Linked DNA regions of Diceros bicornis minor. The protein of the gene in region 3 interacts with the protein of the main gene of each other region in a pairwise test. Links are inferred from orthologs where the notes say so. Each region holds a gene or a part of one and is shown on either strand. Other genes may lie near its edges.

What was found.
Region 1: the proteins of RABAC1 (region 3) and MIEF2 interact in binary tests that used the Homo sapiens proteins (3 or more experiments, as listed by UniProt). The two-hybrid records come from large-scale screens. The link is inferred for Diceros bicornis minor from reciprocal best matches to the Homo sapiens genes RABAC1 and MIEF2.
Region 2: the proteins of RABAC1 (region 3) and RAB1A interact in a two-hybrid assay, tested with the Homo sapiens proteins (2 studies listed by BioGRID and IntAct). The link is inferred for Diceros bicornis minor from reciprocal best matches to the Homo sapiens genes RABAC1 and RAB1A.
Region 4: the proteins of RABAC1 (region 3) and SPG21 interact in binary tests that used the Homo sapiens proteins (3 or more experiments, as listed by UniProt). The two-hybrid records come from large-scale screens. The link is inferred for Diceros bicornis minor from reciprocal best matches to the Homo sapiens genes RABAC1 and SPG21.

What each region holds. Positions count from the first base shown.
Region 1 is NC_080757.1:1,614,365-1,621,253, forward strand, and holds the start of MIEF2 (mitochondrial dynamics protein MID49), read left to right. Parts: upstream 1-3,881; 5' UTR 3,882-5,011; intron 5,012-5,075; exon of another isoform or gene 5,076-5,188; intron 5,189-5,965; 5' UTR 5,966-6,044; intron 6,045-6,889. Other genes in the region: FLII (protein flightless-1 homolog), read right to left, coding at 17-97, 1,324-1,395, 1,696-1,806, 3,529-3,591. UniProt on the Homo sapiens protein: Mitochondrial outer membrane protein involved in the regulation of mitochondrial organization.
Region 2 is NC_080751.1:22,658,715-22,666,497, forward strand, and holds the start of RAB1A (ras-related protein Rab-1A), read left to right. Parts: upstream 1-4,768; 5' UTR 4,769-4,973; coding exon 4,974-4,996; intron 4,997-7,783. UniProt on the Homo sapiens protein: The small GTPases Rab are key regulators of intracellular membrane trafficking, from the formation of transport vesicles to their fusion with membranes.
Region 3 is NC_080773.1:17,246,876-17,254,260, forward strand, and holds RABAC1 (prenylated Rab acceptor protein 1), read left to right. Parts: upstream 1-4,379; 5' UTR 4,380-4,469; coding exon 4,470-4,525; intron 4,526-4,822; coding exon 4,823-5,035; intron 5,036-5,335; coding exon 5,336-5,433; intron 5,434-6,617; coding exon 6,618-6,719; intron 6,720-6,793; coding exon 6,794-6,882; 3' UTR 6,883-7,046; downstream 7,047-7,385. Other genes in the region: ATP1A3 (sodium/potassium-transporting ATPase subunit alpha-3), read left to right, coding at 195-223. UniProt on the Homo sapiens protein: General Rab protein regulator required for vesicle formation from the Golgi complex. May control vesicle docking and fusion by mediating the action of Rab GTPases to the SNARE complexes.
Region 4 is NC_080744.1:59,337,306-59,344,289, reverse strand, and holds the start of SPG21 (maspardin), read left to right. Parts: upstream 1-3,978; 5' UTR 3,979-4,169; intron 4,170-6,984. UniProt on the Homo sapiens protein: May play a role as a negative regulatory factor in CD4-dependent T-cell activation.

The DNA.
Region 1 (6,889 bases), on a different chromosome or scaffold from region 3:
GTGGGTAACCACTGACCAGGACCGAAAGGTCATCCAGCTTGAAGATGTCATCGGGGACTCCGGAATTCTTCAGGCTGTTGGCTCGAGCCACGATGGCCTGGGGATAAACCACAAGAGTCGGTGACTCCCAGCTTCCACCCCCATGAAGGAACAGAGAGATCAGGGAGGGACACTTCCTCAGGAAGATCACCGGAGGCCAGGCCGGAGTGCTCTCCTCCCCTGGCCTTTGCTCATAGTCCCTCCACCTGGCGAGCTCTTGCTATCCTCCCTATGAGCTCCTATTCCCATCTCAAAGCCCAGCTCAAATGTGCCCCAGAGCCCAGCAGAGGGTCCTCAGGGAACCTTTTCTGATCGAACAATCCCTATTCTTCCCAATTCCAGAGGGCAAGATAGGGGTGCAGCTCTGAGTGAGGGTTTCTACACAGAGGGAGAAAGTTGAGCCAAAGAGAAATCAAAGTGTGGACCAAGCACAAGTCTGTTCTCTCTCCCTGTCGGGCTGAAACCTTCTCATGCTACAGATGTGCAGAGAGTACATGCAGGATGGCTGAGGGGAGAGAAGACAGGCCAGGGGGCAGTGCCATGACTGCAAGTGACAACAAGACTAACGGTAGCCGCCACTGTTGACACTCTTTCAGCCCTAACGCCTGTGTGGTGCCATGCTGCTCCCTCACAGAGGACACGGCTAAACCCTCCCCAGAAAGGGAAAGGACTTGTCCAAGGTCACATAGGCGGGAAGGGGTAGAGCTCAGATTTGAACTTGGGCAGCCTGAGTCCAGAAGCTGTGCCCTTAACATCTCGGGGCTCCAACCTTGGATGGGAATGACTCTTGCTGTGGCCTGAAGGGTCTGGGACAGGGGCCTGTTGTTTTGGGACGTCAGAGGCTCCATGGAGGGCAGTGGTAAGCAGACCACCTTGACTGCGTCCCCCACCAGCCAAACCCCACCATACCCCAGCGCTACCACTGCCTGGCCATGTGACCTCAGGCAAGTGACCTGCCTCTGTGGCCAAGTGTCCTCATCTGTGAACTTAGTGGAGGCCAGGATTATATGAAAAAACCCTCATGGAATAGTTGGCACACTGCTCAGCTGGTGTCAGCTGTTATTATTGTAGCTGTTGTCCAAAATGGGTGGGATTTTGGATTTTTAACCGTTTTCCCCATGGGTGACTTAACATAGGGCATCACTGTTATCCTCTCCCCTTAGGAGCAGACCCCTGAGCCTCACACACTGATGGCAGAGGTGCTGGTCCAGCCTGGGGTCTGGCCCTGCCCTCATGCCCCTGGCTGGGCTCCAGCCCCCACTCCCGAGCTTGGCGAGCACTCACCCGCAGTGACGGCAGGCTGGACAGCTCCCCATGAAGCGTGGTCAGGTTGTTGTGACTCACGGATAAGTGCTCCTGGGCCAGGACAGGGGAGCGGAGGCTCAGCAGGGCGGGTAGGGTGTCTACAGAGTCCCACCACAACCTTCACCACCCAGGGCCCTCAGCCACACAGGCCCAGTCCACCTCTGCAGCCTCCCTCCCTCACAGACCGTCTCCACTCGCACATCCCCAGGGACAGGGTACCACTTCCCCTCTGCCAGCTCTGCTCGTGGCCGTCAACGTCTTCCTCTACGTCGTCAGCCTTCTGCACAGGCTCTGCCCCCCTGGCCCAGCCCCATACACAGGGACTCTCCCTGCCCACCCAAAGCCCCTTACCAGCTTCTGAAGGGCAGCCAGCTCCTCCGGCAGGTAGCAGAGGCCGGTGCGGTTCAGCTTCAGCCATCGCAGACTGGTCATGGCCTTGACGTTCTCAGGGAAGTAGCCACCCTGGGAGGTGTGTCACGGTGAGGCTGGTCTGGGAGAGGGGCAGCCCTGCTCTACCACCCTCTGCGGCCCCCACTGCCCATGGGAGCCTTTACGAAGCAACAGAGCCACCTCACACCAGCTGTGTGACCCTGGACAACTCTGTGCCTCAGTTTCCTCACCATAAAATAGGGCTAATAAAAGCCCCCTCAGGACTAAAGTGTTGTGAGGACCAACGAATTATCAGGATGGCTGGCGGCCAAAGATCTGTCTCTGCGGCTGGATTCTGAGCCTCAGGAGGCCAGGACGGAGCTGGCTTGTTCCAGGTGACATCCCCACACCCAGCTATGTGGTTACCTCAGCTCAAACGCCTTCGCCTGGCATTCCCGGCCCTGCCTGGGCTGCCTGGGGTGAGGGTACCCCCTGAGGCCCTACCAAGGCCCTACCTGCACCACCACCACCACCACCCTCCCCCCGCCATCAGCACATAAGCCATCTGTAGTCAGGTCCAGACCCCCCTGTGCCCCAGCCTGCACGGGTCTGCCTCGATCATTCGTTCATTCGTTATTCAATTCCTCACACTCAAATGCCCACCTCAGTATCCCAGCCCTAAAGGCAGGGAGCCGCGGGCAGCACGTGCCTTCAGTGCCCTTGGCTGGTGTCCCCTTCCCCCTATGGCCACATTCCTGGCTGATAACTCAGACTCTTCCAGTCTAGAAAGGCCACATGGAGACCCCAGGCGACAGTGGCAGGAACTGGGGCCCAGGAAAGCGGTGTGGCGGCCTGTGCATGCGGTCAAAGGTGTGTGCACATGTGGGTAAATGCAGGAAGGACCTGCCTGCTTCCCTGGCCCTGGCCAGACCTCTGACCCCAGCCAAAGCCTAGGTCCCCTGACCCTGCAGACCCAGGCTGACACTACAATGACCCCAGCCGGAGTCTGCCCAGCCACCCATGCTGCAGCCCCAGCCGACCCTCCCAGGACCAGGCCAGCTCTCACCTCCACTCCTACCCTGCCTCCTCCCTGGTCACCAGCACTGCCCACCTCGTTCCTGGCTCTCTACAACTGCCCACCCACTCGCTGGAAGGCTGGGCTCCGGTTCCTGTGGCCCTGGTCTGTCAGTCCACAGCTGCTCAGACAACTGCCACCCAGGGCCTCAAACACCTGCCCGACACACTCTCCATAGCAACTAATCCAGGCCGCCAAGAGGACGACTTTAAAGCCCCTTCACCGGATGAGAAAACTGAGGCTCGAGAGGGGAAGTGACTTGCTCAAGACCACAGAGGATGGAGGTGGCGGCGGCGGGGACAGGGCAGAGATGAGTCGGCTCCAGACCCGCCCTGGGGACAGCCAGGGGCACGGCTGTGAGTCAGAGCCTGGTCTGGGCGTGTGACCTCAGAGGGGTGGGGAAGGAGGGCCAGGGAGGAGGACAGGCTCGCGACCCCCGAGTCGCTCTCTGGCCCAGGCGGGGCCCACACCCCAGGAAGGGACACGAGGTGGGGGCCCGGCCCACCCCCTAGCGTGACCCCGAGCCCAGGCGTCCGCGCCGGCCCCGCCCGGCCGCGGTCTTCCCGAGCGGCACTGGCGGGGGCCTCGGAGGCCCGTTCGCGGGGCCTGGGCCCGGGAGCGCCCCACCCCGGTCGCCCGCAGTCCCGGCGGCCAGGCTCTGAGGCGGGCGGGGCAGGAAGCGGAGAGCCGCGCGGGCGCAGCGGCAGGGACGGCCCGGAGGGTCCGGGCCGCCGGCTCACCTTGAAGTCGTTGCCGCTGAGGTCCACGCCGCGCACGAAAGGCAGCACCCCGGTGGCCTCCATGGCGCCGCTCTCGCTGCGGGGCGCGGGCGCGGGCGCGGGGGACAGCCGCGGGCTGGGCCAGCGCCGCCCCGCCCCTCAGCGCGCCCCGCCCGGCCGGCGCGAAGGCGGAGCCCGGCGCTCCGCGGGAGGCGGGGACCCGCCGCGCCCTGGGCCTCTGCGGCCTCTGCTTCCCCGTGTGCTGGGTGACTGGAGGGGCCCCGGGGAGGCCGGGCGCCCCGGTGCTTGCGCAGGAGGACTCAGCGCCTCCAGGCCGGGTCCCCGTGCCGCACGGCGGGGTGTGTCCCGGGCCCTGCGGGTCCAGGTGCTGCCCCCTGCGTTGCTGGAGCAGCTGCAGTGGGCGTGACCGCGGGAGGGATTCTGGACTCAGTCCCGGGGGCGCAGGGACCCGGAAAGTCTCTCTCTGCCGCTGGGCCCTACATGGCGACCAGTGGTGGGAGGACGCCTGGGCCCTTGGGTCCTAGAGCCCGCGGCAAGCCCCAGGCCTCCTCCTGCCTCAGTTTCCTCATCTGTGAAATGCGTCTTAAGGTGGTTGTCAGGAACAAATGAACAAACGCACGGGTGGCTAGAGGCATACAGCAGGCGCTGAATAAGTGGCGCGTTATCATTCCCGCTTAGAGTCAACACCCCGTCCCTGTCCGCTCATTTATTTGCTTGCTGGCCCCCTTGGCCGGCACATAACAGGCCCCAATAAATAATTGCCGGATGAGCCACAACATGCTTCGCAGGGGTGGGGGGTCTGGGGTCCCCATTTCGCAGGAGAAAAAACCGAGGCCCGGGTGAAGTGGCCCACACAAGGTCACACGGAGCAGGCGGCACGGGTAGACCCTGAGTCATGTCGTGTGCCCCGCGGGCCAACAGGTAAGAACAATGGGGCCATCAAGGCCCTCTCGCAGAGGTGACCTCAAGGATCAGTCAGACGTGCGGGCCTCAGGGCCAGGTGCCGCCTGTCTGCCCGGGCCCCGGAAGGAACGTGAGCCCGGACAGCTTTCTCTACACCGGAGGCTCACATTACAAGCGCACACGCGTCACAACGGGTCCTGGGGGCTGGCTTCTTCCGCAGCCGGCCATACAGCTCATACCACCAGCCAGGCGGGTCGCAGGCTCGGAAGGGGGCCTGCGCCTGTAAATTCAGAGTGCATCGGAAGTCTCGCCCCCAATGGAGCGCGCAAACCGGTGAGGGGGCGTGGTCCTCCCACCATTGGCTGAGCTGCGGAGTATTTTGGAACGTGAGCGCGGGCCTCGAGCGCTCCGATTGGAGCTAGGGCCTGCTCGTCTGCGTGCCTCGGCGTCAGCGCCCGCCCCCGGGGCCTCGGAGTTCGGTTCCCGGGTCCTCCACGTTCCATTTCCAGGCAGGTCCGGGGTCCCGGGTCCGAGCAGGCCCGCTGCGTCCGCCGGTCGGTGCGCTGAAGCCGCGACGCAGGTACGGCCGGAGCGCGGCGGGGCGGCCCGGTCATCCAGCCGCGGGCGTGGCGCGTGCCCCGGACGCAGGTCGGGGGCGTGGCCTCCGCCGGGGCCCGCGGTCCCGGCCCGGGAAGGAGGGGAGGGCTCTGGGCCCCAGGCCTGAGTTCTGATCCGCCTCTGCCTCTTCCCGTCTTGGGTATGTCACTTCACTTCCCAGGGCCGCCGTGTCCCCCCGTAAAGGGGGCCCTGACATGCCCACGCAGGGCCGCTGCGCGGCTGCTCAGCCCCGGCCCTGGGTTTGGCGGAGGAGGGGAGGACAGGAGGCGTCCCAGGGCGCTGTGGGGCCCGGCTGCGCAGAGTCGGGTTATTTTTAACCCGCGCCCTCTCCCCCTTCCCAGCGTTGGAAGGCTGCGGGTTGGGGCCTGCACAACCCCGCCAGGGGTGGGCTGAGTCCCGAGTTAGACAGGTGGAGGTATTTAAAGCGCTTGACAGTTTGCGAAGTGGACTCCTGGTCCCGCTGGAGGCAGGTGGCAGTATTGATCATCGATGAGGAAACTGAAGCTGGTTGCAGGGTCATGCTGGGTCACCCGGCTAGCCTTTGACCAACTCAGGCCCTCTTGTCCTATTTTTAGTATGGGCGAATGGGGGCGGGTGTTGGGGCTGAGACCTGCAGTGCTTCAGGCTTCAGCTGCTCCAGGCATCTGGTCACCTGGTACCTGAGCCCCGGGCACCCACAGCCGAGCAGGGAGGCCAGAAGTCCTCGGTGCCCTAGCTGGCTCTGAGCTCACGGTCATCTGCTCAGGCGTTCTCATGGAGACAGTTGTGCCTGGTATCTGACTGGTCCCTTGAGTGTGCCCCTTGGTCACACTTCCTCCGCTCTCAGGGCTTGAGGGTAGGGGTCCCCCTGGAAGAACCTGAGGCTGGGGCTTGGTGGACTGGGCCCCAGGACAGATCTCTGCTTCCGCTGCCCCAGAGCTCGGCCCCACACAGCCCCACACTTCTGGGCTCCGCACTTGTAACCCTTCCTCACCGCAGCCTCTGCCATTTTACAGGTGAGCAAACAGCTGGGGTTTCGGGCCCTCAGCTTACCTTCTCTGTTGCTTGGTCTCTCAGCAGCTGAGGCCACGCCCCCACTCCCCTCACACTGTCCGGAGCCTCAGAGGCCCCCATCCAGGGTACTGTGCGGGTCCTCTGTTTGGAGTCTTGTCTTTAGCGGTACCTTGCTCGCTGCCCCCCCAGCGGGGACTTCAGCCTTGACTGACACATACTCTTGACAGGCAGCTCCTGGGCGCCCCCCCTGCCCCAGGTCATCGTGGGCTATCTGACTCATCCTGTCCTTTGACTTGGTAGCTCTGCCTCTGGGGGCTGCCCTTTCGAGATGTGGAGGATAGCTGTGGCTCCGTGAGCTTCACCAAGGTCCCCCCAAAGGTCTGAGAGGCCCTCCAGGGCAGGCTGTCTGGGACCCCCAGCTATGGTCTTCTCTGGGCCTTGGTTTCCTCCTCCTGTCCCCAGCCCTGGTTAGGAACTGGGAGGACACAGCCGCTAGGACCTGACCACAGGCCCAGGGGCCTGATCGGACTGGGGGTGGGTGAGAGTCTGGACGCTCTGAGACCCCCCCACTCACCGTGTGGTTTGGGAACCTGTTTCTCTGTAAAAGGGGGTGGGGGTGACAAGACCCACCTCGCGGTCTTTGGTGATGTTAAGGGTCCTTGAGGGTGGGATGGGGGGGATGGGCACCCTTCTCTGACCTGCCACAGGACCCAGGGCCTTTCTCTGCAAGACCCCCTTTCCAGGGGTGAGTGGGTTGTTTGCAGGTTTGGGTGAGGGGTCTTGGGCAGCTCCCCATTTCCTCCAAAGAAACCCTGCGAATGGCCCCTGTCTCCTGAGGAGTTCTCAG
Region 2 (7,783 bases), on a different chromosome or scaffold from region 3:
CCAGCGGGCACCTTGTTCTAACTTAGACCACTGCCTCCTGTCATAAACATGCAAAAGTTTGTCTTCCAGATAAGTGCCAGTTAACAAGCCCAGGTGGCCTAGTCACATGGACCAACCCCCTTAACATTCCTCAATGCCTTTTCCTCAGCACACCCCAGCTCTTAAAAAGTCTATCTTTCGTTTCAGTGACATTGAGTTCAGTTCACACTGGGCCCTCTTCTCTACTGCAAGTTATTACTGAATGAAATCTATCCTCACAGCTTTAACTAGTGTCTGGCTTTGTCTATCTTTGACAGTCTTCCGTCTTTTGTGCTGATTCAGAAGGACAGACGGACAATTTCTGGTAGTTCTAGTACTTCCACACGAGGGCAGCTTTAACCCTGACCTTGAACCACATAGCACTGTCTACCTTCCTCCTTCTCTACCCCACTCCAGGCCCCTTGTCCCCTGTTTTCTGCCTTGCTGGGCCTTGGTTCCCATGCTGGCAGGGAAACTGGATATCTCTGGGTCACTTTTAGCTCCTCCCTTCCCTCACGCCTTCAGATTCTATCTCCTCCTCTCTGGAATCTCCTCTCCTTTCCATTCTTTATGCAACTGCCCTAGGTCAGGACACATCATCTTTTGCCTAAATGAATCTAGTTACCTTTTTTTTTTGTGAAGAAGATCAGCCCTGAGCTAACATCCATGCCAATCCTCCTCTTTTTGCTGAGGAAGACTGGCCCTGGGCTAACATCCGCACCCATCTTCCTCCACCTTATATGGGACACCGCCACAGCATGGCCTGACAAGCGGTGCATCGGTGTGCGCCCGGCATCCGAACCAGGGCGGCCAGGAGTGGAGCGCGTGCACTTAACCGCTAAGCCACGGGGCCGGCCCCCTCTAGTTACCTTTTAACTAATTTCTCTACCTCCAGTCTCCACAGAACTCCAAAGTGCTCCTTTTAAACCACTGAGCTGAACACCTCACTCTCCTTCTCAGAACTTTTCTTGACTCTCTGCTGCTACGGAATCAAGTTGAAACTCCTTAGCAGGCATTTGGGGCTCCCCATGATCTCACCTTAACCTAAACATCTCCCAACTCATCTCCCATGGAACCTCTGTTCACTATTCCTTAAACACATGGATATCTTCACACTTCTAGGGTTATGCTCACATTCTTTTGTCATTCTAGGATAAATGGCTCCCTCTCCCCCATTTCTGCCAATGATCAAAATTTTATTCTTTTTCAAGGCCTAATTCAAATACCGTCTCCTTCATGAAAGCACTCTCAACGGTTTGAATTGGAATTATTTCCCTCCTCTGTACTTCTACCTTGTTCATTTTTTTTTTTTTTTTTTTTTTGTGAGGAGATCAGCCCTGAGCTAACATCCGCCAATCCTCCTCTTATTTTTTTGCTGAGGAAGACGGCCCTGGGCTAACATCTGTGCCCATCTTCCTCCACTTTATATGGGACGCCGCCACAGCATGGCTTGCCAAGCAGTGCGTCGGTGCGCGCCCAGGATCCGAACCAGCGAACCCCGGGCCGCCGCAGCGGAGCGCGCGCACTTAACCGCTTGCGCCACCGGGCCGGCCCCTACCTTGTTCATTTTTTAATGTCAGGTTCATAATTGAGGTAAAATTTATATACAGTTAAATTCACTCCTTTTAGGAGTATAGTTCTGAGTTTTCACAAGCATATACAGTTGAGTAACTAACCACCACCACAATGAACATATAGAGTATTTCCATCAAACCAAAAAGTTCCCTTGTGTCTCTTTGTAGACAATTCTCTCCTCCCATTCCTAGTTCTTGGCAATCACTGAATTTATTACTGTCCTTATACACCTCATATCATTTTAATTTATTTTTGCATTTTCCCATATAGGTCTTGTTTGTGGACACATCTTTCTCTCACTGGGTTGTAGTCTCCTTGCAGACAGAAAGTTGTAATTATTCACCTTTGTATTTCTCATGGTTCCAAGAACAAGTTCCAAACACATTTATTATGTGCCAGGTCATAAATATTTGATTTAAAGAAAAGGGAAGATGGGGCCAGACTGGTGGCGTAGTGGTTAAGTCTGCGTGCTCCGCTTCAGCGGCCCGGGGTTCGTGGGTTTGGATCCTTGGCGTGGACACTGCTAGTCAAGCCATGCTGTGGCGGTGTCCCATATACAAAGTAGAGGAAGAGTGGCACAGATGTTAGCTCGGGGACAATCTTCCTCACCACCCCCCCCCAAAAAAAAAGGAAGAAAAGGAAAAGGAAAGAAGGAAGGAAGGAAAGAAGGGAGGGAAGGAGGGAGGGAGGGAGGGAGGAAGGAAGGAAGGAAGAAAGGAAGGAAGGAAGCCAAAGGACAGATGGACAAACAGCCCTAGGAGAGTTTTGATTCAACGATAGGGCAGCCAACAAGGCTCGTGGTAGTTTAATAAATTATTCTGAGTTATTAATCTGAACTATAAAAGTAGCTGCTCTTAAACACCTAAACATAAAAAAATATATTAAAGTTTGAATCAGCAAAACTGACACTTGAAGTTTGGGAAGGAAGTCTTAATATAAATAACATATGAGTTGTAGTCCGGGGTAGAAAACAAACACCCGCCACCCGCAAGCTAGGCTGCCTCTGATCTTCTTGCATATTACAGCACCATAACTAAGACACAAGGCGGAGAAGTTAAGGGAAGGAGAAAGGTAATTAGCCTTTACCAAGTGCCCCAAAAGTCATAGTATTATATGCTTTATAATCTGTTTTATTTAATTCTTACAACCACTCTCTCACTTGAGTTATAAGTTATTAGGAGGTAATTCTTTGTTGGGAAAGGAAATACGTAATTAGAGGAAGTTTAGGGGTATACCTCCAAGGGCAGGGACAGGTTAAAAATTGTAGTTTTGGCTCAGGATGAGTTCTTTGGAGATTTTCTGAGTGTTTCTTCTGTGAAATCACAACAAGCAGGAAAGGACAAAAGTCCAGGGTAATACACACTTTTCGATGTCTATCATCGATCCATTCAAGGTGCTTCACCGTGGTGTGGTGACCCCGCTCATTTCAGAAGCCAACATGATGTGAAGGAACTCTACTGTACTGTTTGATGAAGTTGTCAACCAAGGCACATGGTGGAATTTGGGGGTTAAGGGGTGTAGTTAGTAAATGGGTAGCAATAAGAACTGCCTTCTTTCCATATTTTGGCATCACGGGAATTTAAAGTGATTTTGCAATCACTCTTGGGAGATAATTTTCTTGGTTCTTAGAAAAAGTTGGAAGATAAACTTTGGACAATGTATTATACTATGCCCTTTGTAATTAAATAACCCAAGATAATGTGTTAAAGTTTAGTGGAGATTTAAATTCCTGAGCTGATTAAAGAGAGCTGTTTAGACCATAAGGTTTTAAAAAATGTTATGTTCATATTACTCCTGGAGTTTCTAGGCATTATATAGTGATGAATCACACATTTCTATCGTTTATTACTTTCCAATCTTGCAGAACAGCTCAGTATTAAATATCAACTAAAAATAAGTACAATTCATGGGCCAGCCCCTGGCTTAGCGGTTAAGTGCGTGAGCTCCACTGCTGGCGGCCCTGGTCCGGCCTGGGCACGCATCGACGCACCGCTGCTCCAGCCACGCTGAGGCCGCGTCCCACATACAGCAACTAGAAGGATGTGCAGCTATGACATACAACTATCTACTGGGGCTTTGGAGGAAAAAAATAAATAAAAATTATAAAAATAAGTACAATTCAACTTGAAGGCTGGGACCAGGGCAGGAAGACCTCGAATTTTTGACTGACTCTGGGCTGTGTTCCGTGGACGGAAAGTGGAGCCATTGAAAGTTGTGGGGTCGTGATGACAATGCTGTTTCAGGAAGATCAATCTGCCTGTGTGTGCAAATGGCCGGGGGCAGAGAGGAAAAAGAGGCAGTTAGCCCACTCAAAGGATACTGCAATACTGGGCTGAGGCGATAAGAGCAGGGCTGGAAAGAGAGCGGTAAGAAATCAAAAAAGAAAATGGTACTGCCTGCGGCCAACACTGGCCGACGACCGGACCCAGTGGGGCTGGGTGAGTGAGGAAGAGAACTGAAAGAATGGCTTCATATTATCCAGAGACTCCCAAGAATGGCTTCATATTATCCAGAGACTCCCAAGTTTTCAGCCCAGGCCCCTGACTCCTCTTCCGTCCTTAGAGCGGACGTCCTGGTACCAGCCGCTAAGCTCAAGCCTCAAGCTGGCCAGACCAGCAAAAGGCCCACGGGAGGCAGGACCGGCCAGGAGTGTCCTCCAGCCCCACTTGCTTCCAGACCTCCGCATTCATGCCGTCCCTCCGGCACAGCTCCCTCTGTCCCCAGCCCTCGGAGCCCCCTGATCTCCCCCCACCCCTACTCTCCCTCGGCGGCTGGCACCGCCCTCTGCCCCTCCCTTCCCCCCTCCCCCGTGGGGCGCTGACTCGCCCGGCTGCCACGTCTCACTGATGACATCACCAGGGCCGCTCGGCCTTAGCCAATCCGCTAGGGGGAGTCCGAGCGAAGTCCTAGCCAGCGAGTCAGCGGGGAGGGGAGCTGGGAGGGGCGAAGGGGGTGGTGAGAGAGTGGGGAATGGGGCGGGCGACAACCCCTCAAGTACGCATGCACCAGAGGCGCGGGGCTTGGCGGGAAATGGAGTCCCGGCCGTCGCGCCGCACCGTCTGTCCCAAGAGCCGACAGCCACGCTCACAACTCTCTTTCCCGGCATGCCACGCGGTGCGACCGCCCTCTGGGCTCTGTAAAGACCCCCTCGGTCTAAGGCTTTCCTATTTCCTGGTTCGCCGGCGGCCATTTTGGGTGGAAGCGATAGCTGAGTGGCGGCGGCTGCTGATTGTGTTCTAAGGGGACGGAGTTGGGGAAGACGTTTGCTCTCCCGGAACAGCCTATCTTATTCCTCTCCTTTGGTTACCCGTGGTGCAGAGAGTCAGGGCGGCGGCTGCAGCAGCAAGGGCGGCGGTGGCGGCGGCGGCAGCTGCAGTGACATGTCCAGCATGAATCCCGAATAGTGAGTGCAGGAGAGCACCGGTCGGCTGGGTCGGTGGGCCACCTTGGGAAAGCTTAAAGGGGGCGAGGAGGGCTGGGGCGGGAGTAGGGGCCTCGGCCGGGATGAGGTGAGGGTGATGGGGTAGGAGAGGCTGGCGGCCGGGAGTCAGGCCCCATTGTCTGAGGGAGGAGGTGCGGCCGGGGGAGGGGTCGGGCCGGAGGGGTGAGTCACCTGGGCCTGGACCGGGTCAGTTTGGAGGGCCTGAGTGCGGGCCCGGGGCAGAGGAACAGTCTGCTGCGGGGTTGGGGCTTTTGGGAGTCGGTAGTGAGGTGATGGGAAGAGGCAGCTTCTCTTGGAGGCAGTGACTTTTGAAGGAGGACTTGTTTTTAAGGGGAGGGGAGAGGGTGGGAGAGCACTCCTAGAGGGCACTGTCAGTCTCTGCTCCCGCACTCTGCGGAGCTGTCAGAATCGTCGGGGTGGAAACCAGCTTCACTTGTAAATCCTGAGCTTGTTGGCTCTCTTTCCTTCCATTCTCCCCGCCAGATTGCAGGTAATATGGATGCTTTTCAGGACTGCGGGGGATTGAGGGGAATGAGTAGATGGCGAGAAGCAATTTAAAATGTTTAGTTCTCTTTTTGAATTATTTCCTGGAGTTCTTTGAGAACTCGCCAGGCCCGTTGCCTTCCTAAAAACCTGGGCATTTGTGAGAATTTTTTATAGAGGACACTGAAGTCATTTTGTCTAGTGGAGGTCAAGAGAAAAAAAAATAGAACTAAAACGTAGGAACACTTTTCTGATAGTATCACCAAATTAAAGGAAGACTTTGCTGTGAAGTTGGCAGAGAAACGAATGGACCCCATGATAGATCTGTAGGTTTTGGATTACCTACTTGAATGCTTGCAGATAGGGAATGAGGTTCCATGACGTGTCATGAAAAGTTAATGCATTTCTTTTTCTTGCTTACTCAAGAAGTCACTACAGCAGATGTGATATACCTGGCACCTTTCCTAGGAACTGGGGTTCACTTTCCCTGGGAAGACTTTGTTGAGCTCTCCTTAATGGCCCTTTAAAAAAATCCCCCTACTGTTTGCATATATAAATTAATGAATAATTAGAGGAGATTTAACTGGTATTCTACTACAGTGTCAGAAGGCTTTGGGGGAGAGGGGGAATTTTTTTAAAGCATAAAATCAGTATTTGTCCTGAAAGTTGAGTTTATTTGCTGCTTTGGTCAATTACTGCTAAACATTTCCTCTAAAAGATCCACCCATGAGTTTAGCTGACTGTCATGTGTGTGTCACATGGCTCTTGCAAAATGCACTCTGACTTTGTTTTGTAATACTGTGGTTGGATGCTGAAATGTCCCCTTTTGTACTAAACAGAAGCTATAGTATTTTATTAAAATTTTATATACTTGAAGAAGTTGAGGATAGTATTCTAATAGTGCCATATTTGCTATCTTGGCAGTTTTGTATTTCTTTGTCAAGGGCTCCAAGAACAAAATTGGTTTTGCATAGTTGGGCAGAGTTGAACTTGGGGTCCCTAATTTAGTAGTTTTCCTGGCAACAGTCAAGTACGTGGATGTGCTACTTTATGGAGGTTTGTAAACCTCTTCTGTTCAGGGAGTTTCTTATATTTGCTACATATATTTAGTATTGTACATAGATCTTGAGGATTAATTGAACAGGACTTACGACAAATTATTTAGCCTCTGAATTTGTTTCTCCTTTTGTAAAATAAGGTAGTAGGAGTCGTTATTCCTCTCAGGGTAGTTGTGAGGTTCAAGTGTTTGTAAAAGAATTTAGAAAACTATAAGAGCACTCTAGGTTTTGTATGTCATGTAAGACATTCTAGTAGTGCTAGGATTTAGGAATATAATCCTTACCCTCAAGGAGCTTATAATGGAATATAGAAAGTAGACTGTATATAGATCAAATACCAGTAGATATAGCAAGTTCCACATGTGCAGCATGGATTGGAGCAACAAGATTTCAAAGGAGGGTGGAGGGTTGTGGTTGGCTAGTTGGGTTCAGGAAAACTTTATAGAAAAGATACCTGTAAGAGAATTACTAGCAATGGATTTGGAGAAGCAGAAGGGAGTGAGGAGGATCTTTCAAGGGGGAAGAAGGAAGAAGAATGATTAATAAATGGCAAGGATAGTAATTCTTAAGTAAATACAGTGCCAAACCACCCTTTCGTTTGAGGATTCTAGATTAATGACCTCAACAGAATCAAACCCAGAATCATTTTTATATTTTTTCTGGCATGGAGTATGCCAGTACCTGGGCTACTGTATTTATATTCTAGACTGTGTCTGGTAAAATAATCTAGGAATTTGGGAAAACCTTTGGAAAAGCGTTAGTGAAAATTACTTGAGATGAGAGGAGGTGATGGATATTTTATTTGGGAAGGTCACAGGGGCAACCAGCAGGCAGATTTTTAGCCATCTGACTTCAGCAGTTTCTTCTTTTTGTCTTTAATGAAGCTTGTTACCATAATAAAAGTAATTAGAGAAAAATTGGAAAATAGAGAAAAGAAGGAAAGAAATTCTTAGGTTTTATCACCCAAATATAAGTCCATTTAACACCTTGTTCTAAACTTTAAAATCTTATATTTTTCTTAAATTAAAACTTTTAATGAGTGAGTACCTTTCCATGATTCCATGATGTTGTCTTCGTAGCTAACATTTATAGCCACTTATCATAAGCCAGGTATAATATTATATGTTGTAATACATGTGTATTATAGCATACACATTTATATGCTAATGCAAAAGAATAGTATACTAGCTAATATTTACAAGTGCAC
Region 3 (7,385 bases):
CCCCTTCCATCTCTCCTCTCTTCCTGTCTCTCTGGGCCTCCTCCCCTCTGTCTCCTGCGTGTTTCTGTCTCTGTCCCTTTTGGTTTCTTCCTGTGTCGCTGTCTCTCTCTAACTCTCTCTCTCTGCTGTGTTTCTTTCTCTCCGTGCCTGTCTCTGCCATCTCTGTGTCTTTCGTCCTTTGTCTCTCGCTCCAGGTTGGGTGGAGAAGGAAACCTACTACTGACCTCAACCCACCACATCGCCCGCCTCTTCCCTGCTCCCCCAGCCCAGGACAGCCCCCTCCAGTGTCCCCCATTTTGTATTCGGGGGGAGGGGCCCTCTCTCCCAGTGGCCCCACCTTTGCCTCACCCCTCAAATTATCTCCTGCCTCCCTTCCTCTCCCCCTCTGGCTGGCTTCTCCCTCCCACCCCACCCCCTGCCTCTCTCTTCTCTCTTTTCTGTGTCTCTGTTCCTCTCCCTCTCCTCACCCCTACCTCCCAGCCCCCTCCCTGGGCTCTTTTTTACTCCTTCTCAGCCCCTGGCTGATGCCATCTCTGGTTCTGGACAATTATCAAATATATCAGTGGGGAGAGAGAGGCGGTGTGTCGTGTTTGCTTTCTGAAGCGGGGGTGTGGGCAGGATGGCGTCCCCTGTGCTGGCACACACGGCCGGGTGATTCACACGATCCCAGGAATGTCGCCTGGCACGGGCTTGGCAGTCACAGAATCTCGGAGTCATCGAATCTTGGAATTTTAGACTCACGAAAGTTAGAGTGGAAGCAGCTTGAATTCGCCAGGTGATGGGATTATGGGATCAGAACAGGGGAGAGGGAGGGAGTCAGATCCTCTCACGTTGGAGTAGGACCCCAGGGAGACAATGACAGTGACCATGATGATGATGGTGAGTCACTGAGCGCCCAGTCTGTGCTCTGCTCTCTCTTGAACACTCTATGTGTATTAGCTCTTTTAATCGTTACAAGATGGGAGGCACAGAGAGGGAAAGTGACTTGCTCAAGGTCACACAGCTGAAAGGTGACAAATCCGGGATTTGAACCTAGGCTGTCCAAGCTCTAAGTCACTGTGTTATTCTCTCTTTCTATTGAGAAAAACTTTCATACAGTGAAGTGCACAAGTCTTAAGGGCACAGCTCAATGACTTTAAAAATTACATCCATGTAATCAGCACCCAGATCAAAGTAAAGAACATGTCCATCCATCCAGAAAGTTCCCTCCTGTCCCTTTCCAGTCAGCACCACCCCCCTCAGAGGGAACCACTGATATGATTTCTGTCACCATCCTTTAGTTGTGCCTGTTCTTGGACTTCACATAAATGAAATCTTACAGCATTTTGTCTCATGTGTCTGGCTTCTTGTCCTCAACATCACGTCTGTGATAGTCATTCATGTTACTGCATATATCAGTAACCCATTCTTTTTCATTGCTGCGTAGTATTCCATTGTGTGACTATAGCACAATTTGTTCATTCATTTTCCTGTTGGTGGACATTTAGGTTGTTTCCACTTTGGGGGCCATGACAATTGGTGCTGCTAGGAATAAGAACATTCTAGTAATGTCTTCTGATGATACGTGTATGCATCTCTGTTGGGTACATGCCTAGAAGTGGCATTGCTGGTCAGGGGATGGACTATGTTTAGCTTTAATAGAAACAGCCAGACTCTTTCCAAAGCTCTTGTGTCATTCTGCATTCCTACAGTGTATGAAAATTCCATTTGCTCCATATCCTCGCCAACACTTGGTATTATCAGTCTTTTGAATTTTAGCCATTCGGGTTGGGCAGCTATACCACTTCCCTTGAGGCAGCCTTTCTAACACAGCCCAGAGAAGTGAGTCAGAGGAAGGCCTGGGGCTGGACCTGGCCTGCCTACCTCCCTGCACAGATGTCTGGGATGCTGAGAGCTTGTGTGTGAATGAGTGTGTGCATATGCCCATTGCATTAGGGAGGAGCACCCAAACCTGAGGGGGGAAGGCTGTCAGAAGGCAGGAGCCACGTGCACCAGATATGCTCTTGATGCCCAGGACAGAGCCTGGTCCTAGTAGGGGTTTCATGAGCCTGGACCTCTCCTAGGGAGGCCACAGAAACTACTTTATCAGGTGCAGGGAAAGAAATACCATAGAGGTGGGCAAACTGAGGCCCAGAAACGGCAGAGACTTCCTTGAGGTCACATAGCAGGAATATAACCCAGGTTTCTGATTGTCTATGCTAAGGTCTTCCCACCCTTCCAGCTCCACTTCTCTGGGGATCCTCAAGCTGGAGGGACCACAGGGCCAGAGCTCATCTCCCACAGTCTTCTCAGGTGTCCCCTGCCACCATCCCCCCGTCTCAGGGATCCTCCTATCTCTCACAATATCTCTGCCTGAGGGTCCCCTCTCCCATAATCCCTGTTTCAAGGGGCTCCTCTCCCACAATGCCCTGTGCCAAGGCCCCACCTCCCAAAATCCCCTGAGTCAAAGTTCCCCCCATGTCCTTCTCAGAGGGACCCTCCCCACAATGTCCTTACCTCTGGACCCCACTGCCCACAACTCATGCTGTTCGACACCTCCAGCCCTTTGCCCATTATGTCCTCTGCTCGGAACAAGTCCTGGTAGGTTATGGAGTGAAACTGCTTTGATTGAGTTCCTATAAGGAAACCCAATGGCTCTCATAGCAAAAGTCAAACCCCCAATTTCCAAGGTTGGCCATGGAGGAGGCAAATGGACTTCTGCCTCCAACTCTCTGCTCCCCAAGATTTGTCTTCCTCTTGGGGCCTCTTCTGGTTCCCTCTGCTGCCCCCATCACTCTGAACTCAGTTAATGCTGCTCCCCCATTAACGCTCTGAGCTAACTGCACTCACCACCCTCCTTTGATTTCATGATGCCAGGCGAGACCCAAGAGGGAAACGTGAACAAGATTCTACTAAAAGGCTGACTCTGACAAAGGGGAAATAAAGAGTAACTCGCCAATCTGATCTTCAAAGTGTGGCTCATTCAGCTTCAGCTTGGGACCCCCACAGGGGGCCTCCCCGCCTATTGCTCCACCAGCCCCTTTGGCAGGGCCGTCTTCCCCACCTCCAGCAGGCCTCAAAGCCCAAACCCAAAAGGGATGTTGGGAGAGTTGGGGTTGAGTCATTTGGATATCCCATGTGGATATTCTCCTTCAGCCCCACTCAGCCTTGGAAAATTAGGACCTCAGTCCACGTAAGGGAGCCCAGGCTTCCCGACACTTCCACCCACATTCTTGGGGCCCTGTTCTGGTGCACTCCTTAAGAACTCCAGCTGTTTTCCCACAACTAACTCAGGGGCAGGGGCAAAGACTGAGAGAGAACTACAGCTGTGGGAAGTGGGGAAAAGAAAGCCCTAGGCCTGTGATGCCAGCCACTCTTTGGGACATCCAAGGGGCCAGCAGCTCCTAATATGTTACTGTTAAATTTGAGAAGCCTGAACTCTAGAAATAATCATAACATTCATGATTATGTAGTGGCAATAACATTGACTACCATTTATTGAGCAGTTATAAAGCATCAAGACTCTTTTAAACACTTTACATGGACCATTTAACTGAATCATCAACCTCATGAGTGTGGTACCATCAGGATCCATCCCCACTGTCCCGATGAAGATACTGAGGTTCAAGGAGGTGATGAGATCATCAGCCTGGATTTTCACCTGACTCCAGAGTCCCAGCTCTTTTAATTATAACAACTCTCTTCAAAAAATTCTCAATCCTTTCCGTTTCCCAACTTCCCTCCTTCCCATTCAAACGGGGGAGTCCCTAGGTCTTTAGTCCTAACCCATTCATCCTTGGCAGCCCAAGGGTTGTGCGGGCAGCTTTGCTCCCCACCTCAGATACCCGCTCCAGCAACCATGGCCCTCTCACAAGCCTCTGTCTCTTGAGGAAGAAAGGAAGGAACAGATTCTCGCGAATTCTCTACAGTCTCCCTTCTCAAAATGTGGTCCAGAGGTCAGCAGCTTCAGTATCACCTAGGAACTTGTTACAAATGCAGATTAATGGGCCCCACCCCAGACCTGCTGAATCAGAACATCTGTTTTATCAAACCTTCCAGCTGTTTTTATGCACTTTAGAGTCAGAACGACAGCTCTACACGGTTCCCATTGTATCCTGCACGGGAGAGAGTACACAACGTCTACTTCCGCCTTCAGAGTTCCCATAATGCCTCGATTCTGGACAATCCACCGTCCCCCTACTCCACATACGCCGCTTCTGCAACTACAATTCCCACAATGCCCAGAGGCGCTCACCGGCGCTTTATGCGACAGCATCTCCGAAGGTGTTTTGTGAGCCATCATGGCGCCCACCCTGCCGGACAGCATCAGGACTACAATTCCCACAATGCTCAACGCAGAACTACCGCCCCAAGCGGCTCCCGAGCGGCGCCACGTCGGCTCAGCTGGGTGAGGCCGGGCTCGGGCGGGGCCGGCAGGGTCCGCAGGGCCCGGGGCTCGTTACAGCGGTTCTACCCCTCACCACGCAGACATGGCGGCCGAGAGGGACCAGCAGAAGGATGCCGAGGCGGAAGGGCTGAGCGCCGCGTGAGCAAGCCGGCTGTAGCCCCCTGTAGCCCCCCTGACCGACACTCGGGAGTTCTGGCCCCCGCCCCCTCCTCCCTCGGGCCCCAGGAATCCCGGCCCCCAGACACAGGAGTCCAGGCCCCTGGTCTACTCTTCGGGGACTCTGAAGTCTGGGCCCTCAGCCCCCTTTTGCCCTAGGGTTTAGGAGTCTTAGACCCTTCGCCCGCAGGACCCCAGAGCCCGCCCCCCGCAGCCCCCATCTTGCTCATGAGTCCGGGCTCCCTCCCGGTCCGCCGCTGACCCGGTTCCGCCCACCAGGACCCTGCTGCCGAAACTGATCCCGTCCGGCGTAGGCCGTGAGTGGCTGGAGCGGCGCCGCGCGACCATCCGGCCCTGGGGCTCCTTCGTGGACCAGCGGCGCTTCTCGCGGCCCCGCAACCTGGGCGAGCTGTGCCAGCGCCTCGTGCGCAACGTGGAGTACTACCAGAGCAACTACGTCTTCGTGTTCCTGGGCCTCATCGTATACTGCGTGTGAGTGCCTCTCCGCCCCGCCCTCGCCCTCGCCCTCGCCCCCCGCCCGCCAGGCCCGCCCCACCGAGAGCTCTGGCCGCACTGCTCGGCCCCGCCCCCCGGACGGCTCCGCCAGACCTTTTCACCGAAGGGCCAGGTCCCTACTTCCCCATCAGCCTGGCTGGGACGCACTGTGACCTAACATGACCTAGACTTGCCTGGCCTCAAGGACATAGCCTGTCATCCGCTGGTGTAGACAATCGGGTTCCCTGGCTGGCCCAGCCCCAGCTGCCTGACCGATGCCTCCCTGCCCTTCTCCAGGGTGACGTCCCCTATGCTGCTGGTGGCTCTGGCCGTCTTCTTTGGCGCCTGTTACATCCTCTATCTGCGCACGTTGCAGTCCAAGTTTGTGCTTTTTGGTGAGAGCTCCCTTGCCCAGATGGATCCCTGACGCCTCAAATCCTGGTCTCTTGGAAGGAAAGCCTTAAACCCCAAACCTGTCTGCCCAAGCCTAGATCTACACTAGGTCCCCCAAACCCGATCCCTTAAAATCTCAGACACACCAGGTGCTCCCACCCAGTTTCAGCCCCCCAAATTGCTGTTCCCCAGACCCAGAATGAGATGCCCCAAAACTCACTCTGCACCTATCTCCTGTCCCTTAAAGCTAGCTTCCCCTCTCTCTCCTCCGTCACTTGTGGAAGGCATCAGCTGCAGGTACCCACGTTGGACACCAGGTGGTGATCTTACACTGGCCTAGATCTGTCCCCTGCCTCTGTCCTGCTTCTGGGATGAGACCAGAAAGATCTTGGGACTTCGCAGAGAGGGAAGCTGAGGCTTTTGGCTCTTGTGGTCCCAGACTAGCACCAAGCACCATTGGGAAGAAAGGCCTGAGTCCCCACGCAGGGGAAGCTCAAGGTTTAGAGTAAGGACAGGGAAGAGCTAGGATCAGACAAACAGGGAGACTTGAGACCGAGTTCTTCAGGGGCCTGCAAGTCATGCACATGACAAAGGTGGGCTGGGTGGAGGGACATGTGGGACAAGCACAGGGCATGGAAGGAGCGCCTGGAAAGCACAGCTGTGACTTGGCTTCAGCCACTGCTGCTGCTGGGGTGTGCAGACCTGTCTTCCAGTCTGCCACGAGAAGCCAGAAATCTGTATTGTTATGTGAAGTCATTCAGTTTCTCTGTCAGCCACAAATCAGATTCTTGTGGAACATTGTGCAGACTCAAAAAATACATCCACAGGTCAGACTTGGCCCTTGGGCCACCAGTTTGAGATTCCTGGTCTACCTGAGTGCAGGTTGGAGCAGGAGAGCTCTCATCTGGGGGAGTGGGAGGCTGGGAGCTTCCTAGCAGAAGTGGGGTTGCAGGGCAGAGGGCAGGGGGCTCAGGGAGGTGTGCTCTATGCTGGCAGACAGTGGGGACATTGGAGACGTGGGTGGGGCCAGGACTTCCTTGGCATAAGGAATTTGGATTAGATCCAAATTCTAATCCAGGATTAGCTCCTGGAGCTCGTGACACCAGCCTGTTTGGGGGGCATCAGGGGTGACTGGGAGAGGGCCCGAGTGCCGGAACAGCATGCCCCTATGCCGTCTGCCCCTCAGGCCGAGAGGTGAGCCCAGCCCATCAGTACGCTCTGGCAGGGGCCGTCTCCTTCCCCTTCTTCTGGCTGGCTGGCGCGGGCTCTGCCGTCTTCTGGGTCCTGGGTGAGTACAGGGTCTGGGTGGGCGGTGGGAGCCAGGTGAGAGAGCATGTCCCTAAACTGCCCACTTTCCTGCAGGAGCCACCCTCGTGGTCATTGGCTCCCATGCCGCCTTCCACCTGACGGAGGCCGTAGACGGGGAAGAGCTGCAGATGGAGCCTGTGTGAGGTGTCTTCGAGGATCTGCCAGCCTTCCAAGCCAGCCGCCCCATCCCTGTCCAGCCCTGTCCCGCGCGGCTCTTTTGCTCCGGCCAAAGGCCCCCTTCTCGTCACAAGCCCAGGGAGGGACTCCGGCTTTGGAAATAAAACCGTTACAGTTGTCATTCAGCAAATATTCTCCCAGGGTCCTCTGTGGGTGTGTGCGGAGTGATGCTGGGGATACTGCAGAGACTAAAAGAGAGGGGGCCTGGGTGGAGGAGGGGGGAGACAGTAAGCAAGATAAATAACTAAAATATCATAGGATGGCCGATGGTGATAAGTACCCCGGAGAAGAAAAGGTGTGTTGGGGGGTCCCTGAGACCACCCCCGTGTTCGATGATTTGCTGAGAGGACTCGGCTCAGTATACAGTTGTGCTCACAGCTGTCATTTATTAGCCTGAAAGGTTAGGAAGCAAAATCTGCCAAGAGAAGAGGCACGTTGGGAAGTCCAGAGGACCCAGGGGAGCTCCCCA
Region 4 (6,984 bases), on a different chromosome or scaffold from region 3:
CCCTGAGCTAACATCTGTGCTAATCCTCCTCTTTTTGCTGAGGAAGACCGGCTCTGAGCTAACACCTATTGCCAATCCTCCTCTTTTTTCTCCCCCAAAGCCCTAGTAGATAGCTGTATGTCATAGTTGCACATCCTTCTAGTTGCTGTATGTGGGACGTGGCCTCAGCGTGGCCGGAGAAGCGGTGCGTTGGTGCACGCCGGGGATCCAAACCGGGGCCGCCAGTAGTGGAGCGCGTGCACTTAACTGCTAAGCCACGGGGCCAGCCCTGTATTTGTTTCTTTATCTACGAAATGGAAGTTGTACCTATTTTGCAAGGATTGCCGTGAAGAATAGAAATACTATACATAATTCACTTAGCACAGTGCCTGGAACACAGTAGGTTCTCAATACCGTTATTATTAGCTAACATTTATTGAGTGCTAGCCGTGTTTCTAAGGACTGCCCCTGAACTATCTTATTTTATTTTTACAATAACCCTGGGAGGAAGGTACTATTATTGACCCTCATTTTTCCAGAATGTTAAATAGCTAATAGTGGTAGAGCTAGAGTTCACACTCCAGTAGCCTAACACCAATCTGTGGCCTGAACCACTTTCCCACCCGGCGTGTATTTGCAAATGTTTGTATCCTGATCAAGGAATTTAATGTGCTAGGCTTTGGTGCTCAGAAACAAAGAAACAAAAGCATCTGTTAATTGAGTGCCCATTATATGCAGGCACTATGCTAGGCAATTCCAAAAAGATTTTCTCATTTTAGTTACTATTTAATCACTGTCTTTATTACCTCTAAGAATTCATAAAGTCTTCTAGAACCCTACAGATAGAAGCTGCTTTATTTTTTAGTATAATAGTGCAGCTCTTGTTTCCCAGGATTCTTTATTGCAGCTCTTCTTCCAGAAGGTAGATTATTGCATTGTTATTTACAGCAGAAACACTAATGAGATGCTAGGTTGGCAGATGATACAAAAGATGAAGTACCTTTGCTTAGGAACTCTTATTTTAAAAAGTTAATGATGGACAAACGAAGATTAACTTATCCAAGAAGTTCAAATACTGTTTCCATAAAGAGGCAGTTTTGTGTGCAGGCTACTTTTTTAAAGTTTGATTGGAAGGGAGAGGCAGTGAAGGGATTATCAGAGAAGAGCAGCTTTGAGGAAAAGCTATTGTAAAGATTCTGTACTACATCTCTTATAAATATATAGAATCTAAAATCTTAGACTGGAAAGAACTTAGAGATCATTTAGTCTAACCATGGACTCATTTTACAGAGAAGGAAACCACACCTTGAGAGAGAAGATGTCTTGCCCAAAGATAGAACTTAAGTTTCTTAACTCCTGGATGATAATAAATTATTAATTACAAATAACTGCATATAACTTGTTTGATAGGACTTTTAGGTAGCAAGCTATAGAACAGTCATGTCAACATCTTTCTTGGGCAGTTCCAAAATCTCCACTCTGGGTCTGACCCCTATAATCCAGTGTGGTATGTATTTCACACAGACTGGGTCTGGCAATAAGGAAATAGCATTCATTTTCAATCTCGGGGCTCAGCATAATTCGATATATAACATTGCAGCCAATTGTACCCAGGGAAGCTTTAAAAGGATGGTATTCCAAGAATTGGTATTAGTGTGAAAAACCAAATGTTTTATTCCTCTTTCATTTTTTCATACATCCATTGTTTCTGGGGGTAAAATAGGTGGGTCAAGCAGAAGGAGGCACTCTAAGTGGAGGGAAGAGCATACACAAACTAGGTTTGAGACCTCAGAGGGTGTTTGGGGCCCTTCCAGAGAGCCAGACCTGCTCTAGTATGTGCACCTTGGACTTTAGCTTGAAGTCAGTGGGGAGCTACTGAAGGATTTAGAGAGAGTTTAATTATTTTTTTTATAACATAATAATATATGAATACATTCTTATATAAATTCAAACACTAAATCTAGAGCCAAAGTTCTCCTTCACTGCCCCTTCCATTCTCCAGGTTCTCCTCAGAGGTAAGCACTATTCTGTTTGGTGTGTATACATGCATAAGAGAGATATCTAGGATTATCTTGCATGTGTGTTTTAAAACAAATATTATCCTGTCAAAAGATCAATTAGAGGGATAGAGCTTGTGTTTCAGCAATTCTTAGAACCAGCTAGCCATCTGTTTACTTTGGTGTTCAGAGTATTTTGTGAACATTCCAGTTTTCAAGTGTGATTCTTACACAGGGATTGGTGCTGTGGGAACCATATGGCAGACCCCAAACACGACAGATGCAAACCCTCACAGCCAAATCCACGAGGTCTGCCTGCACTGTGGCCTGCTCTGGGTCAAAAGTTTGCTCCCTGCAGTTGTGCAATCATAGGACAGCTGGAATTCATGGATATTAAATGTTCCTTGTTCAGATTAGGGAATAGACAATGTGTTTGCCATGTGTTATGGAACAACTGAGGATCCAAACATGACCACAGGGTCCTTTTCTAAGGGAAACATGTAGAATCTCAAAAGGGTTTGATCTTTTACATTGTAATAAAAGTATACATGTAACAAAACATATCTACATAGTGAAATGGTTTTTCATTATCCACAGTCAAGTTAAAAATTACTATTACCAAACTAACCAAATAAGGACTTCTAATATATTTGGGCATACCGATAGCTTAAGTCTATGCTAGGGTACTGGTTGAATCCCTCTGTTGCCTTTGCTCTAAACTAAATTTCCCAGCCCGCTTAGGGAGAGAGATAAATAATGTGATCAGCACCCATAATGGGTTTTACATACAACCAGTGATTTGCCAGTTATTCCATTCATTAAACTATTCCAAAGTTTTGAGAAAAAGCCCCAAGGTTAAAAATCTTCTGTGGAAACATGCTCTATACACCTATATGGCACTTTTAATAAAAGACCACTTCCTGTGACTGACTCAAAATTTCAAAAGAGGTGAATGGGGGGGTGGGGGGTGAGAATCTGTTACTGTTTGGAAATGCATTTGGGATTTGTCTAATTCTAGATGGGGACCTAAGGCTCCCGAGCCACAGGGCAGAGGTCATGACTAAGGACGCAATTTACTGGAATTCTCCCCTGACCTTGATCCCATAACAGTTGCCTGGGTAAGGGCAAAATCCAAAGGCCTTTAAACAGGGTACAAGTTTCTCCTAATACAGATTAGGGAGAGGATCATTCAGCAGGACCTTGTTGCAGGATCACTAAAAACTTCAAACAAGGAGATTTACCTATTAGTCAATCTTATCATACATTCTTTCAGCAAACCTGCATATTTTACTGAAAAAGAGAGTCGCGACATCTGCAACACCTTGTTTAAGAATAATTATTATAAATATATTAATATTCTCCATCCCTTTAAGGGAAAGTGATAAAGGAGCTAGGGGCTCGGTGGGAGCTGTTCCTGGAAATCCCCCAGAACGTCAGCAAAAGTCTTGAAACGGAGGTGGGAGCGTTACAGTGGAGGACTATGGAGGGCGTCTGTAGTTGTGCCAAAGGAAAATAACCTTGCCAAGAAAAGAGTATACAAAACCTTGTTCACCAAAGCCTGGAACCCAAAGAGGTCCCCTCAAAGCTTTACACGGCGGAGAGAAACCTGCTTCCTCGAAGAGGAGAGAACTGAAGGCTGACGCACGTCCCAAGGGGCCAGGCGCCCCCTCCTTCCACTCCCATAACCTCTCCCTCCGTGCTCAAATCAGACAGGGGACCTGGAGCTGACCCACAGGCAATTCGGACCTCCTCCCCGAGACCGCCGCCACCGCCAGAACCACGCCGGCTCCCCAATCCTCCGCATATCGCAGGATGAAGCGAGAGCGCCGGGAGTCTCTCGGCTGGGTCTTCCACCCGCCCCGTCGCCGTGGTGACCGCCGGAGACACGCAGTCCCGCCCCTTCCTCACGACGTGGCCCCGCCCCCTTCAAACCCGGAAGCGCGAGGCCGGCGGCCGCTGAACTAACAATTCGGGAGGAGAGAGCGCGGCCGCCCAGGCTCGCTTGGCCGCGCGCCCCGCCCCCCGGAGGCCGGCCTCTCAGCGGGCCCCCACTGCTCTCTGCGCCTGCGGGGCGTGTGGGCTCTGGCCCGGGGGCCCCCACCCGGGCCCAGCCAACCCCACGGCCGGTGCCTGTACTGGAGGGAAGAGCCTCCTTGAGGAGGAGGGAAAGGGACGTGAGGGCGGACACGGCAGGTGAGGAGTGGAACCAGGCCCTGGGAAGTGGGGGTGTGGATGTGTGATGTGTATGGAGTTGCAGGTAGGTGTGTATGTAGTGTACGTGGCTGCCTCTGTCCGTGTCGCTTTGTGAGTGTGGACTCGAGTGGACCGGTGCGTGTGACCATGCACGTGATCTCCTGTCCCTCTGTATGTGTGTGTGTGTGTCTGAGGTCGAGTAGTACATGGGGGTGGTCGGTGTGCCTGTGACCCTGCCTTTGTGTGCTGTCATCGGTGGGACTGGGTGAGGGTGGGGGTCTTATGTGTGGGTCGCCTGCGGGTGGGGGGAGGGGGCTTGACCAGGGCATCCTCCTGTAGTCCCATTCTCTGGCTAGGCAGCTGCAGCCCAGGAACATGTTTTTCAGTTAACTTTGAAGAACTCTGTGCAGAGGCCAGTTATTTTGGAGATTGCACCTCAGCCTGAAAGTGACAGATGTCTTTGTCATTGCTGAGTATGGGCCAGGTGTGAGGCTTGTGAATGAGGGATGAGGAAAGTAGCAGGTCAGGAGTCTCACTTTTCCTCTTCTCCTTTTCCTGGGGAGTTTTAAGTTCTGCATTTATGCTGCTGCTTTGTCTCCACCTACAATGTTCTAGCTCCTGTTGGCACAAAGATTCAAGAGACTGAGGAGTAACTTAATAGCTGTGTGCAAATTTCCAAAAGCTTTTATACCAAGACAGAGCACAAGATGAGGTGTCACAGAAGAAATGTCAAGTAGGCAGCTTTTCCTCCCATGAAGTTTAGAAGATAATGGAATAAGTTCCTGAAGAAAAGAGGGATAAATCTTCCCCTGAAGAGATCTAAAAAAAGGATAGCTATGTCCTAGTGTGGTGAGGTCTGGAGACTTGCATTGAAAAGCCAATTGCATGGCCTAGAGACTCTTAGGTCCTCATATTTTGTTATTGCTGGTATTAATAATAATCACAGATTGTCCATATGTGGATCAAATACAGATTGAGATAAAGGATCAGAAACCTCTGACTAGTTAAGCTGGTTATGTGACTTAAACATTTGTAAAGGCGATTTCATTGACTATAAACTGGCAGGTTCTGTTGAAACCCTGAAGGATAAGTGCATATAATTCTTGGTGCATACTCACAGCTGGCAGTTTCATTGTTGAGCAGTACAAGGGCTGAGAGGACTGGGTATGCAAAGCACTCCCCAAGGAGGGGTTTCCTTAGGCAAGATTAAGGCTAATCTCTGCGGCCCTTTTCCCACCAGCATGAACAGGTGATTTCGTGAAGAATTGAATTGTGAGAGATCAAATCAGTGTTGAGCTCATGGTCCACATTCTTTCCTATTTAATGCTGACTGGTTTGGTCGCAATCTCAGTTAACCTTTTTTGCCACATACAGAATGTTTCTGTTGTGACTTGGAAAAGTATACCCCGTTAGTGGATGAAAGAGAGCTAGGAGAACAAAATTTCTTTTCATACTGCTCACAGCTGCTTTCCCTTTGCAGCACTGAGCTTTTTTTCTCTTCAACGTCAGTTGGTCAGATGCGACATTTGGTTTCTATCTGACCTTTCATGTACTGCCAAACTAGCACAAGTGTTAAAATCACTTGCCTCTACAAACATTTAGTCACAGTCGGGTGGAATCTCTCCATCCAGCAAGATTAGTTATAAAATGTTATAACACCAGGGTGGTTGTGAACAATACTGAGGACTGCGGTAAGGAACGTCTTTCTGTTTATTGCTATGGGAAGAAGTGGATGACAGTGAATTTGTGTGCCTGTGTATGATGTGTATTTCTGTTGTAGTTTGGTTTGTACATTGCAACTCATTCCAAACTATGAATGATTAATTTTATCCCAAGTTTGGCGAATCTAGAAGCAAACTTTCTGGCTTTAGTTAGCTAAGGTGCTTTATAAATCTATTGAGTAGATTTTATTTGCTAAACATGTTTTTGATATTTCCTCCTGTACAATAGAGTAATTGTTTATAGTAATGCAGTACTAGAAAATGTTGCCATTAGGCAGTAGTTAGATGATATAGGAATATTTCAAGTCTATCCAGATAGAAAATATTCCAGAATTAACTATATGTGCTAGTTGCTTTCAATTAAAAGTGATAACCAGCGTAGAGAAAGGTTATATAGTTCAAATGGCTTAGATTTTTTAACATGTTAATATTTGGTAAGAGAAAATGGATATGCAAAGAGTGACTTTCTTTATTTCAGTATAATAATAACTACATCTGTGCACACTGATTTTCAGCATAAGACTGGCTGATGATTTTCTTGGTGCTTGAGAGCAACTTATGATTTTAACAAACTTTTCTAAAAGTACCATCTTAGTCTTGAGAGAAGAGACCATTATTACAATGTCAAGGTTGTTAATCAAGTTTAATATTGGATGTCTACATTTGCCATCTCCTTAGGGTTCAGTTTAGTAACCCCCCAAAAGGTTAGAGGTAACAATTGAGACTGCTGAGTGCCTTTTGTTCTTGAGGGAGCAGATCTGGAGGGCGGGGGAGGAAGAGTTCCACTGGGTTTAGAATCCCCTGTTCCTGGCCGGTCCAGAGAAGCCCCTCTAAAAGGACAGCTCAGAGAAAGCCCAGGAGTTAAATCCTAGAGTCTCGAACTCATCCTAGCTCTCCCAGGAAATCCAGGCTTGCCCTGGGGTAGAGGGAAGGACGCAATGCAAGTATTTGAATCCTTCCAGACCAGTGGGTGGAAGTTCCTCATTTGGCAATAAGAATCTGCAAGAGGGAACTATAATTTCAGGTTCCTGTTATGACCTAACGTGGATGCCTGAGCAAAGAGGGGCAGCCTCTAAATTAAAGATACTCAGCCA